6 linked regions of the Cricetulus griseus genome follow. The protein of the gene in region 6 binds, or shares a complex with, the protein of the main gene of each other region. Links are inferred from orthologs where the notes say so. Each region holds a gene or a part of one and is shown on either strand. Other genes may lie near its edges. The genes, in order: Pkn1, Mapk14, Map3k20, Akap13, Map2k3 and Nod2.

Region 1 (3,500 bases), about 3.6 Mb from region 6:
TCTTTAGTGTTCGTTGGCATGTGCATCTAGGTATTCCTAATGCCAAAGACAGCTTTGGGTGGGATCTGGGAATAGGTGTGACCATGTGTTTCTCTAGGTGTTAGTGGCCATGCGAGTCTGGCATTTGCCATGGCTTTTGTTGACACAGGACAGTATCTTGATGGAGTAAAGCTCCAGAAAGTCAGTGGACCCTGCCTGCTCCCAAGCTTTCTGCTCACCACTCCCGGCTGCAGGGTCAGGAAGCACCACATGTGCATGCAGCTCCTGCAGCTGCTGGTGCAGCAAGTCAAGCCGTCGAGCAGAGCCCCGCAGCAGCAGCTCCACAGGGCCCAGGCTGCGGCCCAGGTCGGTGGTGGCTCGCCTCAGGTTCTCAGCGCCCTCCTTCAGCTTCAGCTCCTTGCGGATCTCCCGCCTGAGCCGCTCTCTTTCCAGCTCCAGCCGCTGCTGCACGCCGGGGGCCGCCAGGTCAGCCCCCGCCAGGCCCATCTGCTCCAGCAGCGACCAGCTGCGAGGCTCGCTCTGCAGGGGAAGACACCAGGCACAGAGGTCAGGGGCCAGAGGACAGGTGGCCTCACCAGGGCACAGTTCACCTGACCTACCACCCTACCCTACTGCACCCTAAAATTCCAAGGACAGGGGCTGCTCCTCCTCCCTGACCCACACAAATGGTAATATCTGGGCTAGAGAGATGGTTCAGGAGGTAAAAGCTCTTGCTGCCAAGCCTGGTAACCCTGAGTTCACCCCCTAGAGATCTACATGATGGAAAAAGAAAACCAACTCCTGAATGCTGTCCTCTGATCTCCACTACACTCACACACAGAAATAAATAAATAGGCGGCTGGAGAAATGGCTCTGTTAAAAGCACGTATTGCTCTTACAGAGACTCAATTCCGTTCAAGCCTCTAGTTCTGGATCTAGGGGGACTGGATTCCTCTGGCCTCTGCAGGCACTGATGTGCATGTGTACATAACCCTAAAGACACACATGCATAATAATAATATAAATAAATAATAAATAAATAAATAAATAAATAAGCCAGGTGGTGGTGGCGCACACCCTCAATCCCACCACTCGGGAGGCAGAGGCAGGAGCATCTCTGTGAGTTCCAGACCAGCCTGGTCTACAGGCGAGTTCCAGGAAAGCCTCCAAAGCTACAGAGAAACCCTGTCTCAAAAAACCAAAACTAAATAATAAATAAATAGAAGGTCAAAGAATAGGCCAAAAACAAGGCCTCCTTCCTCCCAGTTGCACTGACCAGGCTCGCCACAGGTGGGCCCTATCTCCCTTAATTTGTGACCTATGCAATGGGATTCTGGCAGGAAGACTCCAAAAGACCCCTTTTTTCTTCCAGTTTCCTGCACTCCTAACCAGGAGGTTCCAAGGGCAAGCTACATGTTTCTTTTGCCATACTCCAAAACCAGGAGAACCTTAGAAACATATCCTGACTTCTCTGATCTGCATTCCCAAACTGGGAGATCCCAAGGGCCAGCCCTGCCTTCCTGTCTTCTCTATCTGGTACTCCAAAGACGGCGCTCATCTCCTCCCACATCTCCCAAACCAGAGAGCTGATGTGGCACCCAAAAGTTAGAGAACTAACTTGTGCCCCATCTCCTTCCTACCCTTAGTCCCCAACTGAAAGGTACCCTCAGCTTCTGTCTCTAGGGGTCTCCTTCTGCCCATCCTATGGAGACCTAGCCCCTACCTCCAGATCCAGATGCAAAGGGGAATCAGCCGCCATCTGGGTCCTGGGTCTGGTCTGAGGGCCACGCCCTCTTCCTGAACCTCAGCCCTGCCAGGGCCTCTGGACTGCCACTTCCTCTTTCCTGCCAGCTCCCAGCATCCTCTGCGCCAGGGCAGCTCTAGGGCATGGGGTTTGTTGTTGTTGTTGTTGTAGTTTTATTGGGGGTTGTTTTGTTTTCTTTTTTTCTTTCTTTTTTTTTTGAAACAGGGTCTCTCTATGTAGCCCCGGCTGTCCTAGAATTGACTATGGAGACCAGGGTGGTCTGAAACTTACAGAGATCTGCCTGCCTTTGCCTCCTGGGTTCTGGGATTAAAGGCATGTGCCATGTAAGAGGTTCTTCCCACATCACCCCCTAAATGGCCATGCTTGCTTCTCTGGAGGCAAGCCAGGGACAGGTAGCCCTTAATTCCTGGCCTGAGAGAACACCCTGGATATACACACCCACAGTTGTATGTAGCAGACAGGATCTCATGTGGTACACAGCATATGTGTGAACCAAAGATAGGCTCATAGGTACGATCACATTTCCAGTTTTGCAGGTGTGAGATTTGCTCACAGGCTCACACATGCACACACATAAGCTCATATATATGTATACCCTTGTCATAGCTAGCTTCAGCTGTCAACTTGACAAACCTATGAAGAGGGAACCTCAACTGAGGGGTTGCCTCTGTCTGACTGGCCTGTGGGCATGCCTATGAGACATTTTCTTAATTGCTAACTGATGTAGGAGATCCCAGCCCTCTGTGGGCAGTGCCATCCCTGGCAGGTGGGCCTGGCCTGTGTAAGAAAGGAGCTGAGTAAGCCAGAGGAAGTGGGCCAGTAAGCAATACTCCTCTGTGGTTTTGTTTTAAGCTCCTGTCTTGATCTCCAGCCCTGACTTCACTCCATGGAGGACTATAATTTCTAAGACCAAATAAACCCACAGACAGGTGTAAGGGTAAGCGGACAGCCATGAGTGCTAGTTTGAGCCCTCCATAAGCTTCTCTCTCTCTCTCTCTCTCTCTCTCTCTCTCTCTCTCTCTCTCTCTCTCTCTCTCTGTCATTGCCCATGTCCCCACAGCAGCCCTGAGGCCCTCAGTCATGCTACTGCCTATTCATGTCTTGTCCCTTGTCCCCAACTTCCCCTTAAGAATCAGAACAGTCAGTGCTGTAGTAGAGGGTGTGTGTGTGTGTGTGTGTGTGTGTGTGTGTGTGTGTGTGTGTGTGTGTGTGTGTATTTGTGCAGCTTCCTGTAGACAGGCAGCATCAACTTCCTGTTTCTCCCTACCCAGATGTCCACCACGGCTGATCTCAGCTTGGGAGCCTAGGGGGCCCACCTGCCTTAACAGTAGCTCCCTGAAGTTCACTCCAGGAGAAGACAGCCCTGAGTGGCCCCAAATAGGAGACCACACTTGTTTGCCAAATATACACTAAATCTGAACTATCAGTGGTACAGTTAAAACGTATCAGGGACAAGGTATATATGAAAACATTCTATTTTCCATTGGATTTTACTGTGAACCTAAAACTGCTCTAAAACAAAAACATTTTTAAAAATAGTAGGAGTGTTGTTGGACAGATGGTTCAGCAGTTAAGTGCTCACACTGCTCTTCCAAAGGACCTGAGTTCAGGTCCTAGTAGCAGTGCCTGTAACTTCAGTTCCAGGTGGATCTGATGATGGCTCTGGCTTCTTCGGGTATATGTACATACCCCCCAATATACATCATTAAAAACAATAAAATCAATAAAAGTAGTAGTAACAGCAGTGGGTGAAGTT
Region 2 (4,016 bases), on a different chromosome or scaffold from region 6:
GAAATGATTCAGTGGTCAGTGCTCCTGTAGAGGACCCAGGTTCAATTCCCATCACCCACATGGCAGCTCACAACTGTCTGTAACTCCAGTTCCAGGGTCTCCATGGCACCAAGCATTCATGGGGTGCACATATATGTGTGTAAGCAAAATACCCACACATATATAAAATAAATAAATCCTCAAAAAAAAAAAAACCCAGCTTCAAATAACTTGAGAGAGTTATTTGCTCAGTCATCATGTACAATTTCAGCTGTCTTTTCCCCCATCGACAGGTTATAGGCTACACCTTACATCTCTGGTACAAACTCTTCGTCTCTGAAAAAGACATGCAAGGAACCGAATAGCGGTTGTCACTGAAGGAAGAGAAAACAGGGCTGGGGAACAGAAACAGAAGGCTTCCTGCTGCATACCTTTTTACATTTTATACATAATGAGTTGCTAATGAGTTGCTTTGTGTTGTTTGTGTATTGCTGGGGATGGAATGCAGGGCCTCCCATATGCAAGACCAGGGGCTGTAGTATGAGTTACATCACTGGTCCTGTATCACATACTTTTTTTGGTTTTTCAAGACCAAGACAGGGTTTCTCTGTGTAGCTTTGGAGCCTATCCTGGCACTCGCTCTGGAGACCAGGCTGGCCTCGAACTCACAGAGATCCGCCTGCCTCAGCCTCCCCAGTGCTGGGATTAAAGGTGTGTGCCACCACCGCCCTGCCCTGTATCACCTACTTTTAAGAAGCTGTTTGGTACAAGTCCTTTCCAACTGTGAGGTGGTGCTGAATTCTATTTCATAGAAAAGAACAGCACCAGAGGAAGTGAGCGTAGTTTTAATGGCACTTCACCACTGAACTTCATTGCAAACCTGGCTCTTCGGCCAGGACAGCAGTGTCCATAGGAAACCTTGCAAGTTCACCCACCCAGATGGCCTACAGTGGAGATACTCTGTTTCACCACTCCCTGAACATTCAAATGGAAAGCAAAGCCTGATACTCTAACAATTAGGAATGACGGACTGAGGTATGCTAATGAGCTATTAAATATTAGAGAATGAAGATAACAGTCGCAAATACACATGACAGATGTGTGAACTGCCATTCTGTAGACATGGGAGAAAGACGTCAGGGTTGGTGCCATCTGCAACATAACTTAAGCAGCTTGCGCCAACAAATGCAATATGATCTGTTGCTGGACACTATTGCACAATCTCAATTACCCAGAAGGTTCTACCAAACAGGAAATTCATGGTGTGACTTTAAGTAACACAGGACTCATACCTAAAGATTAACACATGCAGAACCCTGGAATTTGTTACAAAACAAACCATTTCACAAACCTTCGAAAACAGGAGTGTATATAAATTACTAAAGCACGTGAAGAGCTAAGCTGTTGAACCTCAAGAACCAGAGCTCTAAGAAGACACTAAGCCTAAAAGACACTGTATGAACCCTGGAGAGTTCCTAATCACTTCTGGAGTGGATATTTTATAGTATGGATTTAATTTGAAACCCACTCCCAGGGCCTTGCAAAGGTGGTAAAAGCCTTTATTCCAGGCCAGCCAGAAGAGTGAAGTTCAGGGCAGCCAGGGACATACAAAGTCTCAAATGAACAACAAAGAATCAAGAATCACGGTGTGAATGACAGCTGAGAAACATTGTTTCCTTTGCTCTCACCAAAGCCACGTCCCTCAGCCCTGGGAAAAAAAAAAAAAAAGCAAGCTGATAGCGCGCCCCTACAAATCTTCAAAGGGACTTAAAGAAAAGCATCCCAGGAATTATTTCAACTAAAAAGCTATTTACACCTCCGATCACTTGATCTGGAGTCCCTGTGGCCCGCATGGGAAAACTGATTTGTGGAGCAACACTGAAATGAGCAGTGGTGTGTGACTAAGCGGCGAGCGGTGGCGTCCTTGCAGGCGCTGCCACCCTCCCGCCCCGAAAAGGAAATACGCTTTCAACCGAATCGGAAACACAGCACGCAAGCTGGCACCGCGCTCGCCGAGATAAAGTCAGCATTCTAGGCTCTTCGGGGTGCTGCTAATTCATGTGCTAATTCCCAAAGAACGCTTCCGGAGCCAGATTTGTCCCCCCTCCAGATGGAGTCTTGCAAGAAAAAGGAAAAAACAAAAACAAAAATCCGGGAAGGGAGCGCTTTTTTTTTTTTTTTCTTGCAAGTTTCGTTCCGGTGACCGCAGTCGCGGGGTCAGGCTGTGTGCCCTGCCGCTCCTCGCAGAGGCTCCGCCCGGCTGGCTCGCCCGCTCTCCCGGGGCTGCGGGGCTGCGGAGGGAGCCCGGGAGGGGCGCAGGGTGGAGCCCGCGCGGCTGCACCCGGGTGGGTGAGTGAGGGGTGCAGGGCCCGGCCGGGGCAGAATTCCTGCCGCTGGGCGCATCGCGGAGCCGCGGGCACAGGCCGGGCCTCAGGCTCGCACGCTCGCACGCACGGAGGCTCGCACGCAGGCACGCAGGCAGGGCCGCCCCGCCGGCTCCGGCGTCCCCGGACCCCAGGCCCGGCGACACTCACCACACCGAGCCGTAGGCGCCCGAGCCCACCGGGGACAGGTTCTGGTAGCGCTCGGGCACCTCCCAGATGGTCTTGTTCAGCTCCTGCCGGTAGAACGTGGGCCTCTCCTGAGACATCTTCCAGCGGCGGCCGGGGCCGCTGCCTGCAGCCGCACGCTGTCTGTCCTCGGCGCTCGCCCGCCGCTCGCCCGCCGCTCGCCCGCGCGGGGCTGGCTGGACGCCGCGGCCCCTGTCAGAGCCGCGGGCACGCGCGGGAGCCGGCTGTGCGGCTCGAGGCTGCTCCCGCCGCTGCGCTGCAGCCGCGCCGCGCCGACGCCGCACGACTCCCGCTCGCAGCGCTGCAGCGCCGCCCGCCCGCCCGGGCTCCCGTGGGCTGGCTCCGGCCGCCGCGCTCCTCCCGGCAACGACCGGAGCCTCTCGCGGAAGTCTCGCGAGAACAACGCCCCGTCCCGCCCGCGCCCACGGCCCCGCCCCGTCCGACCGCCCCGCCCCGCCCCGCCGGGATCTTACCCAATACGGAACCCGCCCGTGGGAGGGGCCGCTGCGAGCGCGCCGGAGGCGGCGCCTCTCGCGAGAACACGGAGCGGGCGGGGCTGGCAGGGCTTCGGGGCAGGGGCTCTCGGAGGAGGAGCGCGGGGAGGATGGAGAGGACGGAGGAGGAGCGCGGGGAGGAGCGCGGGGCGGACGGGAGAGAGGAGCGCGCGGAGGAGCGCGGGGCGGAGGAGGACGGGGAGGAGGAGCGCGGGGAGGAGCGCGGGGCGGACGGAGAGGAGGAGCGCGGGGAGGAGCGCGGGGAGGAGCGCGGGGCGGACGGAGAGGAGGAGCGCGGGGAGGAGCGCGGGGAGGAGCGCGGGGCGGACGGGGAGGGCGCAGCGCGTGCCGCGCGCGCCTCGCTGTGGTCGGCTGGGCGAGCGCTGGCGCCAGGGCGGCAAAGCTGCCGGCCCCTGGCTGCCCAGGGACGGACGGACGGACAGACGGACGGACTGATGGACGGACGCTCGCTGCCCCTGCCCCGGAGCCCAGGCCGCCCCTCCAGACGCCCAGGAGCCCCCTTCAGTTTTCTCAGGCTGAAGAGCCGCCCTGGACGTTTCAGAAGCAAATTCCAGGGGCCGGGCCGGCCGGGCTCGGGGCCTGCGTAGCATTTGCGAGGTCCTGGGTTCGATTCCTGTGCTGGAAGGGACAGGGACGTATGTACCCATGCGCGCACACACATGCACACACACACACACACATGCACACACACACGTATGCGCGCACACAATGCACACACACGTATGCACGCACACACATGCACACACCACACACACACACATGCGCGCGCACATGCACACACAGACACACACGCGCGCGCACATGCACACACAGACACGCACACGTGCGCGCACACACGTGCACACACACGCACACACACGTATGCGCGCACACACATGCACCACATGCTCACACACACCACACGTATGTGCGCACACACATGCACACACACATGCTGGTAGGTCATTGTATT
Region 3 (3,500 bases), on a different chromosome or scaffold from region 6:
ACAGGCATGTTTGCACAGGAAAAGGCAGTATACATAGGGTTTGGTGCTAATCTCAGTTTCAGGCATCTGCAGGGGGTGCTGGGATGTATTCCCATGGACAAGGAGGGGCACTGCTATTTAGTGTTCTATTTAAATAACACTCCCTACCCCTCCACCCCGAGGGAAAGTGGCAACCCAGAGCTCTGGTGTGTGGCTTTTTTTTTAGTAACTTAAAGGCCTCTAGAACCAGGCATGAGGCCAGAGGCCTTCACCTACAATCTTAGTGGGGGGTACTATTCTTATCTTGAATGTGTTGTTAATATTTCAAAGCGTGGGGAACAAATGTGTGTAATTTATACAGATCACAGTCGTCAAAGGGTCTTTTGTTGGACAGAAGTAATTACATTTCACTTCAAACAACAGTCCCAGACATTAGCGAAGTCGGGTGTGGATGTGGCAGGTGCGTATGCCAATAAAAGCAGCGAGCCGTCAGTGAGGAAACCTCACTCACCTTAATTAGTGGTGGGAAGTGAAACAGGTTCAGGTAATCGTGGGCCAGCTTCTCGATAGCTGACTGTAAGGAGAAAAATCACGTGACTTTATTAATGCTTTGATGATACCAAAGATGATTAAAATTACTGAGCATACAAAATAAAGGACTTTATGTAGTTTATAGAACATCTTGGGGGATGTTAACCTCTATCAGTGGTTAAGCATATGTAGACATGGTAGTTGGCCATCACTGAAAGGACAGGAGACTAGAGACAGATGGTAAAGCTCCACCCATCTATTTCCTGACCCCATCGGTAAGGCCTGTTAGGCCCCTATTAGTGTGCTTGGGCCACACTAATAGTCAACTCAGCTCCCGGATGCAACTATGAAGGGTTTCCTGGCCCTGAAGTCCCTGCCCACAGTTCTCTTGGTGCCAGTAGGTAAGCAGTCTCCAGACCACCAGACCTGAGGCCACACTCCTACTTAACCAACTAATCCCAAATGGGCAAAGTTCCAGGCTCCTTCAGGACTTCTCATGAATGTCTGGCCCCTCCAGCTGTAAGTGGGCTAAGCGGCCTCGGCTAGTCCTGGGTGTGGTAACCGCTCTCTAGGTGTGACCTTACCTTAGTTGCAGTCCTCGGGCCCACTGAGCTTCCTCCTGCCCCAGGCCTTTCCTCTGGCAATGCTTCTCCCTCACATGACTCCTCCTCCAGTGCAATGCCATCACCTGCCTAATGTCCCTTCCAGAAGCCTGCCCTTAGCCCAGCCCTGTCTCCTCTGTGGCATCTCTCAGAGGTGTCATTGCACACCATTTTCCCCCTAGACTAGAGGCTTCCTGGCAATACAGAGGTGTTACACCATTGTATCCAGGTAACCGCTGTGGGATTTTAAGGTGGGAACAGGGCAGTGCAGGTGTGGCAACTAGTTAGGGACAAGCCTGGAGGTATTTCAGCACCGAATGTCCCATACCGTGATGCTTTCATCTCTATTTGCCCACACATGGCTCACCATACCACACATTGATTTATTGACACTCTCCCACCGGGTACCTTAAAATGGATGATGTGCCCCTTGGAGACAATGCCCATGTCTTTCAAATCTTCCTCATCCAAAAGCAGCAACCGCTTGCCTGTGATGTTGTTTTCCTTAAACAAGCTTGCATACCCACTCATCTCTACTGAAGAGTCACCTGGGAGAGAAGTGCAGAAGGCAGGAAATGAGGATAAATCATAGCCCGACAAAGTTAACTCTGTAAATACGAAGGTAATTTATTTCACTTGCCTTTTCTGACGAGCTGCTGAACCCAAAAATACTGCGAAGAGAGGACACACATGGTTCGGGAGGGTCACATACAGGCAGTAGCCATTCTCAACAAGAAAACAGTTTCCAATAGATTCAGATGTCTTTAACTTAGCCACAAGGGAGAGATGAAAGAGTTCTCTTTGGAGTTTAAAGCCTCAAGCTCTCAAATTGGAGATATTCTTCCCGTAGGGGGCATTGGGCAGTTGAGAGACTTCCTTGAGCGAAAGTGTACATCTTTCCTAGAGGAGCTCCTATAGTGACTTTTCCATTATACATGCAGGTAGACTGCTACCATACTTATTTCAGGAACTGCACGAGTAACAAGGACCACCCAGAAGTGGACATAGAGATGGACAGGATGACGACTCCCATTAGCTTGTTCGGCCATGGCAGCCATTTGGGGGCCATGCAAAAGATGGTACTTTCTGTGTCGAGTGAGGTGGTTACACCTAGGGGTCCCTTGTCCTTGTATATATCATTTGGCACCTGTTTACCAGTGACCTAACATTACCCTGGTGAAGACACACAGAGAAGAGGCCAGACTCAGTCACTCTGGTTCCCTGGGTCCCTAGACAATGGACTTTTAGCTGAATGGCATGTGAGCCACTTAACCTTGCAGCAAAGACTAAAAATAGCTCCCAGAACTCAGTTGTTTCAAATCACTTTCCTTTCAAAGGAGATGGACCACCCTTGTAGCTGGGGAGGAAGCAATTACATACAGGGCCAGGGCTGGCAAGAGGCTCAGCTTCTAGTGTTCAAGGAAGGGGAGAAACAGGAAGCTGGCTTCTTTGCTTTGTGGGACCCACGCAGCTGCCTAAAGCAGCAAGAAACTCACTTCATAAAAAAAACAAAGGGCAGAGGGGGCACACCCCAGCCCCACACCAGGCTGACGTCTAGAACAGGTCTCCTGGAATTCCTAATCATGACTTTTCCTTGAGACTCCTTGGGGTGTCTGTCTCCCTAGGGTGGAGCACATCCTTGCTAGAACTAGCTAGCATTTCATCTTTATTTTCTTCTGCATTTAATGATGCCCTTGAGCTTATAAAATGGATCTGGACAGGCGAGGGTCCCTGAAGTCTCTCATCAGCAGTTCTCAAAATTGTTTTGCCATTAAGGAAGCAGATATGGAGAGAGAACTGGCTACCCGGGATTGCTCCTCAGGGAGTCTACCCAGAGCTGCATGGAGCCTTCCTGCAGACTTAAGTATCATGCCTCCTGGGATGTAAGATTATGGGGCATACTCTGTCCATTCCTCTCGGGGAAGGCCAGAGTAAGGAAGGCAGTTAGGCATCTTGTCAGTTAATGAGCGGGCCTGAGGTGGGAGGGGAACCTGTGCAGGGAACTCCAGCCCGTTATGGTCTCTCTCCTGTATGCTCAAGTCTACCACTGGTGTTGTAGAGAAGTTTAAGAATTGAATTTTTTTCAAGTATGTGTACTTGTCATTCTGAATCATAGCTTTTATCCTGCTATTGATATACTACTATATTCTGGAGTGTGTGTGTGTGTGTGTGTGTATACTCTCTCTCTCTCTCTCTCTCTATATATATATATATGCATATATATACATACATATATATACATATATACATATATATATGTACATGGAGTATATGTATATAGAAATTATAAAATATAGTATAGCTTTTATCTTGCCATTGGCATTACTATATTCTGGAGTATTTTCACAGCCAGTTATGAAGATGAAACCCTCATAAGATTTGAAGAGC
Region 4 (3,500 bases), about 43 Mb from region 6:
ATTTGTAATGACTATATGGCCCAAACATTCCAATACTAGGTACACAAAAACATGTCTATGTAATGTGTCCGTGTGTATCCACAGAAGCCCTATGATTTCTAACAGCTCCAAACATAAAGCATTCCAAAATACAGACCTTATTTACAATGGTATTTCTTTACAATGAAGTGCTATCTGGCAATAATTAATGATGCAACAAAATACTATGCTAAGTCAGTAAAGCCAGCCAGCATGAGCACATGCTCTATAATTCCACTTATATGAAGTTCAAGAAAAGTCAAATGTCTAGAAAGAGAAATCAGATTGCTGACTGCCAGCAGGTTAGTGGAATGAAGAAAGACAGGGCAGATTGCTAATGGGCACTGGGTTTTTGAGATGATGTCATCACAAGGACATAAACAAGTCAGGCTGGATAGAAGTCTCAGTGGTTAAAAGCATTGAATGCTCTTCTGATGTCCTGTCTTCCGGGCTCTCTGACTATTGCACACACATGGTACACAGACAGACAAGAGAGCAAAACAAACATACACATGAATAAATCTCAAAAATTAAAATATAGGTAGTGGTGGTTATACAATTTTATAAATATAAAGAGCTACCAACCATATTTCATTTGAATTGTGGTTTTGCTAATGTATAAATCCTCACGAAACTGCTAAGGAAATATTTACTCAGCTTTTTCCTTTGCTAATGATATTCTCCATATTTTATACACTTTATGATGACCTTCACAATGAAGACATAAAGAACAAGTCGTGTTCAATAATGTGCATGGATGCCCCTTGGGGTAAATTCTTGTTGTGTCACTGAAAATTTGCCGACCAGTTTCAAAGTCTTGTGCTCACAGGAAAAATGTTTTTATTGTAATCTCCAAAGGATTCATGTAGGGAAGACGATTCCAAAGCTTTGATGACACCAACACAAGTTTAACAAAAACATACCCTTTGTTTCAAAAGCAGGACAAGAAAGAAAGGGTAAAAACCATTGATCTATCCCATCCTATCACAAAAACTATGGCCGTAGATCACACAAGCAGGCCAAGCTGAAATACTGTCCATACAGGTCTGCAGATGCCACTTACCGCCTGGGTCTCAGGGCCTTGTTTCATTTTGGGTGTGGTAGTTCCATTTCCTAGAGCCTCCTCCTCAGAAGGAGCTCTGGTCTTACTCAGAGAATCCACTTCATCTTCAGCTTTAGTGTCTGGCATTTCTGAAGAGAATATGGGTTATTCAGAGAGAGTACATTCGATTAAAAAAAAAAAAAAGGAGGTTCCTATGTGCTTTAGTATTTACACAACAAATTCAGGTTTCATCTGTTTTGTTTGTTTTTCCATGCAATGGCAGGAGCTGGTGCCATTTATGACCCCACACTGAGCTCCTATACTTATCACATGGTCTGTGACTGGTTCCCAGCCTCTAAATGAGCTTAGAGTTAAAGGACATTCAACTCATTGTCTACTGAGTGTCCGTTTCATTAATGACTTTGAAAAGCTACAAAAATGCATGTGACAGTAAATTAATAAACTACAAGGGTGCAGATTAATATATTAAATAAGGCAGTACATTTTGGACACCATTATAGCAAAATTTATTTGTATAGAGAAAATGGAAAGCTACTGAAAATGGCTTTCAAGACCAGAATCACTTAAAACATATATTACAAACCCTGTTCTACACCATTAATTTAATCAATAAGACTAGACAATTTCAGCAAGTTATTTTTGAACTATAGTTTTTCCAAAAGCAAAATTGAGTAAAGAATCTAATATTCATTTCTGTCTGGAAAAACAAAACAAAACAAAGTTTTTAAAATTTTTCTGTTGTTGTTTTAGTATTAAATAATCTGTCCCCATACTGACCATGCTCTTAACAGACTCAACAATAATAGTTTCTCTTACCCGGCCACCACATGGTCATGCAAAAGCAGGAAGTGATAATAATGATGTTCAAGACAAATTTAGACTTCTGACACTTCTTTAAAGGGAAAATATTGATTGAATAGTCGAAATTACCTTAATATATATTACATATAATATATTATATATAATATAAATGGAAAGTCTGCCTCATTTCCATTTGCTTGTTAAAGTAGCAGTGGTACTACTCTGGCAATAAAAACAATCCCCATCTGAAAGACTGAAGTTTCTCTCATTGAATAATAAATCACATTAAGATTCATTCACACTAACAACATCTGTGATTCTCTAGAGACCTTCGATTGGGAAAGTCACATTCCTAACAAGAGAACATTTATAATTCCTTGTCCTGTCTTTTCTTTTGTAATTATACAATATTACTAGCAATTTAAAATAGGTATCCAAGTTTGCTTGTCCAGAGAATTAAAATCTGTTAGCTTTAGTAAATCAAGTTTTATTTAAAAAGAAAAAAAAAAAAACAAAACTGAAGTAATCCCTTTACAAAAATCCCAAGGAAAAACATTTCTAAGAGACAGAGAGTAACTGTGTATGTGAAGGAAGATATGGTTTTTATTGTATCCTGGAATGTGATTTTTAGCATTAACCTCAACTTTCCTATATGCAATCAACAGAAAATATGGACCAGCTACAACCGTAAACATTGATTACTGAGACTCTGCAAGATTAGCTTGGTTTGGTCAAGCACCTTCTGAGTACAGTGATCAATCAATGCTTTCTGTGAGGCAAAGGTCACATTCCCTCTTTTATCAGGCTCCTCCCAAATCAACAGCTAAACCTGACCCATAAAAGAATCCATGAATGGAATGCAACCTTCACAAAAATACCCCTGGCTATGAGATCACACTCAGGTGCTTTTTTCTAGCACAATGTAACCAGGGACTTTCCTCGACCCTGGCTATTTCAAAGAAAGTACTCAATTTCTTCACTGGTTACTTTTTTTGTAGTTGAGCACCAGCCCTGTTATGAGTCCTTTTGGTAACAAAACAAGTAACCCACCTATACAAAATACAACCAACCCCCAATTTTCAAAACTTTCTTCTTCAAAATTTCGCACCATTTCTTAGTATCTTTACTATAGTTGTATATACTTAAAATCATGTCTAAGATTCTGCCAGTTTTTCTTTTTTCTTACCTTTTCTGATCCAGTGATACAGACACAAGCTTCATAGTTCACAGTTGCTAGGGTCAAATTGTGACCACAGAACAAGAAGGAGAAATAATTCCACCCAGGGTGGCCAAGGACAGAGCACCAAAAGAAAGGAAAACAGCCAGGCATCAACTTACAGCCACTCCCAAGCTTCTGAAATGTCAACCTGCCAAGGCCCCCAAAATAGACCTGTCATGGTGCCTTGTCTTAAGAATTAGAGACCTCATTTCAATGTTGAGACAGACGTCAACCTAAAACAGCACTAAATTTAAAAACCTGAAGTCCCTAAAAGTCCCACCTTAGCTTCTTAAAATCACTTAACCACAGCTGGAAGTTGGACTTTAAAACAGGCAAAAGCCCTTCATCCGGGCCTAGGCATTGTATTTAAATCCTGTCATCCCAAAGAATTTATTTTTG
Region 5 (4,218 bases), on a different chromosome or scaffold from region 6:
ACATGGTAGAAGGCTGATCCACATGGCTGAATGAGAGAACTGACTCCCACAAAGTATATTTTGACTTCCAGAGAGGTCTCCATACATGTGCTATGCTGCGGCATGCATGTACCTATATACACATATATAAGTGTAATTTAAAGAAAAATTTATTTTAAGTCTTCTGCAAAGGTGGAAAAGAGTTCCTGCCAGGCAGGGTCATACTGGTGCAAACTCACCAGAGCCTGCACCTGCACCTTTGCATCTGTTGCAGGGTCACACTAATGGAAGCAACCACTGTTAAAAACTGCATGCACAATAGGTGGTCCTCTGCTTCAGGCAGCCTCCAGGTCTAGTAGGCATGGGGGTGATGGTCAGGATGACAGTGTCCCACTGCTCCCCTAAGCACCTTATACAGGAATGGCATGGAGGGAGCACTGGGGAGATCAGCTTATAGTCCTGCTGTAGCCATGCTCTGTCCATCACAGCTGTGTAGCCTCTGTAAATGGTTCGTGTCCCCGAGTTTCTGTTAATAGGCAAACGGGGCTATGGAGAATAAACAAGGCAATGTATAGCACGTGGTATAGCACAAAAAGCTTGGTAAGTGACAACTCAAAAGCTTTTGGTGAATGGATATTGTCATTCCACCATCACAGATGTCTCCAGACTCCCTAAAAGGCTACAAGGGATCCCGGGCCTTGGAGAGAGTCTCAACTTCCATCCAACCCACCCAATATCATGTTACCTAACCTACAATCTGCAAATTTATACTGGCCCTCTCAGAAGAAAGACCCAGAGAGTCCAGTGCCAGGCCTCAAGTCACCATGAGGGTGGACAGTATCCACAATCAATGCTTTGCTATGTCACCCACAATCTTTCTCCCTTGTAATCTACAACTGCAACTTTATTTTGATGTAGCATCTCTCGCCTGGAAGAACTGAAATGCCTCTAAAACAAACACTGCTTCCAACCCTTCCTGACTGGAGCAGCATCTAATTTCCTGGTTCTCAAGTTCCACGAGGTCTGCATGCAAGTCCCTCCCCAGCCACCTCCCCCAACAAGTGCCTCCCTAGTTACTCACAGAAGTTGGGCAATGGTCAGGGATCTGGCCTCCCACTTATGTAAGATGCAATTACCCCGCCCACTGGGCTCCTGCACAGCCATGGAAGCCAGCTGCAGGGGACTGGAAAGGCCCCCGCCTGCCCAGGACAGCCTGCCCAAGACCAGGACTCCTGAGGTCGAGGTTTCCTAGGTCAGAAGGAGAAAAGGCCACTACTGCCCCAGCATCCTCTAAATGTCTGCCATTCCTATCATCTCTGCTCTGCAGCTGCAATCCAAAGCTGGGCCCCAACCCCACAGGGCTGAACCTTTCCAGCTGGAAACAGCCAACTTTTTCCCCTGTGTACCTACTATGTGCCTGGTGCTACGATGGGTTCTTGGTCATCTCGACCATGATTGCTTCAAACCACCCTACATTTAATCTCCCATCACACCCCAGGTATCCGTTTCATTAATAAGGCCTAGATGTGTCAAGAGACTGGCCAGGTGAGGCAGTGGCAGGTTCAGAATGCAGAGAGTCAACCTATTCACAGCTGTAGGTCCAGTTTGGAACTCTCTTTTCTGCAGCCCAACCTACTTAGTCTCTGACATGTCAAAAACACGTTCCTCTCTTCCTGGAAAAAGAAAGAAAGAAAGAAAGAAAGAAAGAAAGAAAGAAAGAAAGAAAGAAAGAAAGAGAAAAGAAACAGTCTTGCCTTCCAAGTCTTGTCCCCCTCACTTCCCATGACAAATGCTGCTGCTTCTGCAGCCCACGCAGCATCACTGCCACCTCACAGAAATTTCCAAGAAAGCCAGTTAGTTACTTGGAGACAAGTCCCAGCCTTGTACAGTTAGCCCCTGGCCTAGCAGCAAGCCCAAGTACCAAACACCGGTTCTGAAGGCAGCAGACCAAGAAACAGTAGGTGCAGGAAGAGGTCGGCTCCTAAGTGCAGTTAGAAGACTGCAACTGAGTCAACGAGCAGCAGGTAGCATGGGCTGAGCTGCGAAGTGGAGCCGCCAGGAAGTTCTACAGAGACAGCCTCAGGGAGGAGTGCAGGCGGCCAGTGTGCAAGCCAGCAAGGCATGGGCCAAGGAGGGCTCACAAGAACGGATGGAGCTGGAGGAGAGGAGGAGTTCTGAGTTCAAGACTAGGCAGGTTTCCGGCATTGGGAACACAGCCCGGGGGCCCAGAGGAGAGTAAATTGCAGCCTGGACACAATCCAGGAGCCTGGCCTGAAGGGGCTGGTGCAGCCCAAGGACCCTCTAGCAGGCAATCAGTGAAATCCTGGCTAAGTTCAGGATGCAGCCCGGAAGCCTAAACGAGGAGCTCACGATTACGCTCCAGACTTGGAGCGGGGTAGAGAACGAGATCCTGCCTGGGTGCAGTCCCACGGCCTAAGATCCGGATTCCAGTGAGGTCCCGCGAGGTCCCGGGCTCGGGCTGGATCCAGTCCTGGGCTGGAGTGCCATTGCCTGTGCCCGGCCCGGAAGGGAGTCCAGTGTCCCGGATGGGCTCGAACTGAGTGTGGCTCGGGCCGCGCGGTAGGGCGGGAGCGCCTACCTTTGGTCTGAGGCAAGCTGGCCGGTGGACTCGCGGCGGGAGACTCCATGCTGTGGACGGTCGCGGTGGAGAGCACTAATCTAGAGGACAGCAGACTACACCGAGGCCGGGCGCGCTCATGGCTGCTGGCGGCAGGCGGCGGACGATAGGCGATAGGGAGCAGAGAAGCGACGGTAGCAAGCGTCCGAGGCGGGCGGCGCCACAGCCACACTGGGCAGCGGCGGACGCCGGCCGACGGCGCCACGCAGACCCCGCCCCTCGCGCCGATTGGCCTACCTGAAAAGGCCCTTGCCTATCAGACGCCGACCGGACTGTCACGCACAAGCTCCACCCTCCGGGAGCCGGAATCCAACCCTGCTTTCCCCTAGTCCGGTCCGGCTCCGCCCTCTTGCCTATCAAGATGACAGCCCTACCCATTCGCGGTATGGTGCTGGCGCGGTCCTGGATACCCCAGCCTGTGCCCCCCTACGGCACAGCGTGTGCCGGTCGTAATCTGGAAAATCTCAAGCTCTCTAGGATAGTCGGACCGGGCCGATGCGGCTGGTAGGGTGCTCCTGGAAAATTGCTCCTGGAATGAGACTGGACTCCTAAGTGGCTGCGCCGTTCCAAGGGTGAGCGTCATGTGCTTCTCCCCTTTAGAGAGCTGCGACCTCGGGCCTGCCTCCTAGGGCAGCAGGGGAAACGAGATCCCGCGGCGGCGCGTGCCAGGTGAGTGCTGACCAACTGTGGGAAAGAGTTCACCGCGCCTTGCGGAGCGCACACGCGTTTAAGTCCGTGTGGCGGCTGCAGCCAAGAGCACCTGACACGCCGGCTCTTAAGGAGCACCCGGATTCAGCTGCTACCTGGCAGTGCCTAGTAACAAAGTAACTTTTTGTGTTGTAACATTATAGCGGCGCTATTCCTAGGGGTTAGGGGTAGTCTCCGATAAAAAGGTGTCATTCCAAACATTGAAATACCTTTGGCCAACCTTGAGTGGGGTTCCATCTCCGCGGTCAGTCGCTGAGCCTCTGTCCTCACACTAACCAGGAGTCTCTGGGATCGGATGGAAAGCCGGGCGGGCGGCCGTAGTGAGGGCAAGAAGCACAAGGTCAAGGAATCAGTCGCAGCCTGAGTGAGTCTTAGCTCTCTGGCCAGCACTCAGGGCACCAATGCCTTGTTTGCATACTTGGTTTCTACCGCACCCCTCCTCCCGTGCCACCCGCCTCCCCCCATTAGGAATTCCCAATTAGGAATCCTGACTGTCTCATCCCCTGCACTATCCCAAGGCTTAGCCCAGAGCCACGCACATAGTAGGTTCCTAAGAACTATTTGAGGAATGAGCAGAGGAAGTAGGAAAGCATGCCACAGACATGGGTAAAGTGATTCTAGTCCCGTGCCAGCCTCCTGGGCACCAGGGTGACTCAGACAAGGTCCTCAAACAGGAGGAGTTTAATGGGTTAGTCAGACAACTTGACAAACAGCCCAGGAATCACAAACTCCATGTGGGGTGCTATAAATAGATGCAAGAGTCCTAAGAGGAGGCTCTACCTCACCTGGGTGGGGTCAAGGAAGGTGACCTTCATGGACTAGTAGCCAGACAGAGAAGTAAGAGACCATCCTTGGATGAATAGAGAAGCCAGCCCCAGGGAGTGGAGCTGCTC
Region 6 (3,936 bases):
AATAGAAACAAAACAACACTATTGAATTCTGATTAGGATGATGGTAGAGCCCAGCACTGTGTGGGAGGCAAGTGCTAATATGCTGTGACCTCCTCTCCTCAGCTTGCATGGGACTGACGGCCAAGGGGAAGAGAGTAACTTTAAAGTCCTAGTAAGTCTCCACCCAGCACAGCCATCTGGGAATGCAACCATCAAGACTAAAGGGCTTACAGATCCCTGGGAGGGTGCATCGGTTCCTGCTGACAGGGAGGGCTTTCCTGTCTCTTGTTCTCGGGACTCTATGGTTCCCTCCTAATTGGAAGGTGGCCCAGAAAGCCGGCCACACAAGGGCAGGATACACTGCACCGCAGGCAGGCTTCTTCCAAGATACCTGTCTTACCACCTGTCCCCAGAGGGAAATCAGGAGGGGTGTGGCCGCCCTTCCGAATCCGCCACAGTGGGCGGGGTCACTGGCTAAGTAGGTGGAACGACGGGCGGGGCAAGATCACGGAGGGAGTCACCACCAGGCGGGCGGAGGAACCCCGCGCTGCAGCTGGCGGTGAGTGCTTGCCTGCTGCTTCTGTGGTCTGCGGGTGCTCGGGGTGGTGGGTGGGTGGGTGAAAAGAGGTTTTCTGGGGGCAGACTTAGTGCTCCGGGGGGGGGGAGGGGTCGGGCTCGGTGTGGTGGAGAACACGAGCGCCTAATGTCCCATCCCTATGATGGTGTTAACTGGCTCTGCGCTTCCTTCCAGAAGGAACTGTTTCCCTGTGGAATCATCAGCAGAATAGATAGGCTGTAGAAGGAAAGGGGCTTCTCGAGAGGGGACCCGTGTCAGACTGTGGTCACTGAAGATGAAGAGGTTTAGGGCACGGGAAGCCCATTGAGGCCCCAGGATCCTTTGAAGTCTAAGGGGAGGCTGAGGTTTGGGGGTGGCTGGGACAGTGGAGGTGAAAACTTGCAGGTGAGGTCCTTACCCAGAAGGAGGAAATCCTGCTTTGGGTCGCAGGAGGAGCCATTCCTGGCACAGTTGTCCCCTCTCCGTGGGCCTCAGTTTCTCTGTCTTTGGTCTTCAGAGACCCCAGCTGCTGCTCCCTGATCCTTGCAGGTGTCTCCTGCCTGTCCTTACTCATTTGTAAGTGTGGGAGCTGGGGCCAAAAGCTGTTTCTGCCTGGAGAGACCCACGGCCACCTGCCCAGTGCCAGCTCAGCTTTCAAGCTTGATCCTCTCTTATGCTTCTCAAGTCATTGGTGCCTCTATGTCTGGACAAGCTAGCTCCCAAGCCTCTGGGTAGGTCTGTAGCTGGTTGAAACTCTCATGGCTGTTTTTTTTTTTTTTTTTTTTTTTTTTTTTTTGTTGTTGTTCTTTTTTTTCAGATCCTGCAGGGTCCTGGCCTGGGGCAGGCTGTTGGCTTTCCTGCCCTAGGGGGAGTATGATCTCCCCCTAGGGCCAGGGTTCTGCAGGGTCAGAAAAGCTGGCTCCATCAGCCACCTCTGCCCAATTGGGGAAAAGACCAAGTGACAGCTCTGTTGCTTCTCTTCCAGTCAGTCTGTTGTGAGGCTATTGGAGGCCCTGGTTTCTTGGCCATTTGATGCCAGGTGGTCTCCACATGCAGCTCCAAGCTGGCACTGGCCCACACTTTGCCCCTCTCTCTCACCCAGGTCAGCACTCACTGTGGCCCAGTGAGCAGGCACTTCCTACTAGCCCATTGGCTAAAGTCTGTGCCTTGTAATGGCTACTCTCTGGTTCCACAGCTACCTCCCCAAGCTGTGTGGAATAAAGACATTCTCATTCATTCAGACCAGTCTATTCACAGGGTGAGGCACAGGGTCCAGAGAGGAGCTCCAGCAGTGTATCATGATAATGCTTGCCATGGCAGATGATGAAAAGGACTGTGGGGAGAAAATGCTGGGACAGGGCTTGGGGACCACAGTTCTACATAGCATAGGAAGGCCCCTCTGAGACAGTGGCCACTGAACAAAATCTTAAGGAGGTGATGGGCAAGTCATGTGACTATCTGTGGGACAGAGAGTGCCCTGTGAGCATAAAGCTTAGGCAAAGGCAGGAGCACCACAGACCAGAGCAGGCTCCCTTGTTCTGAGAGTGAGGAAGCAGGTGAGGGGCTACAGCAGGGTGGGAGTCAATGGAGGCTAGGAGGAAAGGGGTGGAAGTTGAGGTCTCTTGTATTGAGCTTGAGGTTGCTATAAAGGCTTTTGGCTTTCGCTTTGACTATGATGAGATCCACTAGTGGGCTGGGCTGTGAACAGATAAGGTCTCTGCTCTGACTTAAGATCTGGCAGGTTCATCTAGTTGTGTGACTAACATTGACCTATAGGGGGTCATGGCAGATGAAGGAACCATGAGAAGGCTTCAGGGCTTATGTTGTGGTATAGAGAGAGGTGGAGAGAGAAACTGTGGCTTTCAGATTTGGGGTCTGTTGAAGGCTGGGTGGATGGTCTGTGATGCCCGAGAGCGGCAGAGTCAAGGATGACTCTGGCAGTTTGGGGCCACTTTCAGTTGAGAAAGGAGCTAGCTGTTAGGAGGAAGGTCCAGTGATTGAGTTGTTTGGAGATGCTGGTAGGTACCACATGATGTTGAATGTTGTCCAGAACTGTCAGTGACATTTCAGGCATCACTGCCACATAGTTGGGAATTTAAGCCTGTGGGGAGGTGGGCTTATGTGGGGAGAGAGTGGCTCAGAGAAGTGGCAGTGATTCAGTTCGGCGGCAGTACAGAGGTGTGTTATCAGCCTTGGAGGCAGAATGGCTAGAAAGAGTAGCTAGCATGTGGGAAGGAAGGTCAGAGAAATCCTTCATGGCCTCAAGAGACGTGCTCCAGGGAGGAGAGTGAACAGGTAGAACAAAAGTCCTTGTCAGAAAGGAAGACCAGGAACAGAAGGCCAAATACTGGAAGTCATGGTTTGCATTTTCACTTGTAATGGTTGTGGGGTGGGGGGGAAGGATGAAGGGAGGACTGGGAAGTTCAGGCCTAGACAAGGGAGGGCAGAAATGAAGGATGAATTAGTTTGTTTGTTCTATGATGGGAACTGATGTCCTGGGGAGCAACTCAGTGGAGATGGAGAGTGGGGTTAGTGCCCCAGGGAAAGCTTGGCCAGCCAGGACCAGGACACTCTTCTGGGGACCTCCCTTCCTCTCCCATCTGCTGGAGGCCTGGGACACTGCAAGGATTGTTCAGCTCTCAAACAAATCCTCAGCTGGGAACTTCAAGGAAAACCAGGCTGCCTATGATCCTGGGAAGGAAGGAGGTGCTGGGGCACAGGCGTGTGCATGAGCACGTGTGTGTGTGTGTGTGTGTGTGTGTGTGTGTGTGTGTGTGTGTTTGGGGGCTTGGGGATGAGAGGGGCTTTTTTTCATTTTTATTTTTACTTTTAATTTTTTTTGGTTTTTTGAGACAGGGTTTCTCTGCGGCTTTGGAGGCTGTCCTGGAACTAGCTCTTGTAGGCTCACTTCAAACTCACAGAGATCTGCTTGCCTCTGCCTCCTGAGTGCTGGGATTAAAGGCATGTGCCACCACCACCTGGCTGAGAGGGGCCTCTGTAGATACCCTTGACCCTCTGTTTCAGCAAGCTGGTGCCCCCTTTGTTTGGGTTCCGTCTTGCAGAGCCTAAGAGTGACTCCAAGGTGGCCCTAGCTGGATAGAGAAGAAAAGGCAGGGAAGCAGAACAGCCTGTTTAACCTGGAGAGGACGAGTCTGACTGAGTAGGAAGGTGCAGGAACAGGATACTAGACCAGCTTTTATGAAACAGGTGACAAGAGCATCTATCGTTTTGCTTTTTCTTCCAAATTTAGCCGAACAAGATAAACTAATGAAGGACTCCTCAGCTGGTCAGGACGATAGTATCAACCCCAGGTCTTCTTTTCCAGCTGCTTAAGATGAGATAGAAAGATGGCCTACTCAGAGGCAGGGGACTGGCAGAATAGGTCTGTGGGGCTATGCCTT

Evidence for each region.
Region 1: Nod2 (region 6) and Pkn1 share a complex: the UniProt entries of both Homo sapiens proteins name them as parts of the signaling complex. The link is inferred for Cricetulus griseus from reciprocal best matches to the Homo sapiens genes NOD2 and PKN1.
Region 2: Nod2 (region 6) and Mapk14 share a complex: the UniProt entries of both Homo sapiens proteins name them as parts of the signaling complex. The link is inferred for Cricetulus griseus from reciprocal best matches to the Homo sapiens genes NOD2 and MAPK14.
Region 3: Nod2 (region 6) and Map3k20 share a complex: the UniProt entries of both Homo sapiens proteins name them as parts of the signaling complex. The link is inferred for Cricetulus griseus from reciprocal best matches to the Homo sapiens genes NOD2 and MAP3K20.
Region 4: Nod2 (region 6) and Akap13 share a complex: the UniProt entries of both Homo sapiens proteins name them as parts of the signaling complex. The link is inferred for Cricetulus griseus from reciprocal best matches to the Homo sapiens genes NOD2 and AKAP13.
Region 5: Nod2 (region 6) and Map2k3 share a complex: the UniProt entries of both Homo sapiens proteins name them as parts of the signaling complex. The link is inferred for Cricetulus griseus from reciprocal best matches to the Homo sapiens genes NOD2 and MAP2K3.

What each region holds. Positions count from the first base shown.
Region 1 is NC_048596.1:160,720,999-160,724,498, reverse strand, and holds part of Pkn1 (serine/threonine-protein kinase N1), read right to left. Parts: intron 520-3,500; coding exon 219-519; intron 1-218. UniProt on the Homo sapiens protein: PKC-related serine/threonine-protein kinase involved in various processes such as regulation of the intermediate filaments of the actin cytoskeleton, cell migration, tumor cell invasion and transcription regulation.
Region 2 is NW_023276806.1:233,801,765-233,805,780, reverse strand, and holds the start of Mapk14 (mitogen-activated protein kinase 14), read right to left. Parts: upstream 2,801-4,016; 5' UTR 2,630-2,800; coding exon 2,514-2,629; intron 1-2,513. UniProt on the Homo sapiens protein: Serine/threonine kinase which acts as an essential component of the MAP kinase signal transduction pathway.
Region 3 is NC_048599.1:102,755,701-102,759,200, forward strand, and holds part of Map3k20 (mitogen-activated protein kinase kinase kinase 20), read right to left. Parts: intron 1,784-3,500; coding exon 1,753-1,783; intron 1,661-1,752; coding exon 1,521-1,660; intron 554-1,520; coding exon 491-553; intron 1-490. UniProt on the Homo sapiens protein: Stress-activated component of a protein kinase signal transduction cascade that promotes programmed cell death in response to various stress, such as ribosomal stress, osmotic shock and ionizing radiation.
Region 4 is NC_048596.1:121,744,965-121,748,464, forward strand, and holds part of Akap13 (A-kinase anchor protein 13), read right to left. Parts: intron 1,210-3,500; coding exon 1,082-1,209; intron 1-1,081. UniProt on the Homo sapiens protein: Scaffold protein that plays an important role in assembling signaling complexes downstream of several types of G protein-coupled receptors.
Region 5 is NC_048600.1:74,919,638-74,923,855, reverse strand, and holds the start of Map2k3 (dual specificity mitogen-activated protein kinase kinase 3), read right to left. Parts: upstream 2,801-4,218; 5' UTR 2,628-2,800; coding exon 2,579-2,627; intron 1-2,578. UniProt on the Homo sapiens protein: Dual specificity kinase. Is activated by cytokines and environmental stress in vivo. Catalyzes the concomitant phosphorylation of a threonine and a tyrosine residue in the MAP kinase p38.
Region 6 is NC_048596.1:164,271,256-164,275,191, forward strand, and holds the start of Nod2 (nucleotide-binding oligomerization domain-containing protein 2), read left to right. Parts: upstream 1-1,136; 5' UTR 1,137-1,208; coding exon 1,209-1,266; intron 1,267-3,469; exon of another isoform or gene 3,470-3,936. UniProt on the Homo sapiens protein: Pattern recognition receptor (PRR) that detects bacterial peptidoglycan fragments and other danger signals and plays an important role in gastrointestinal immunity.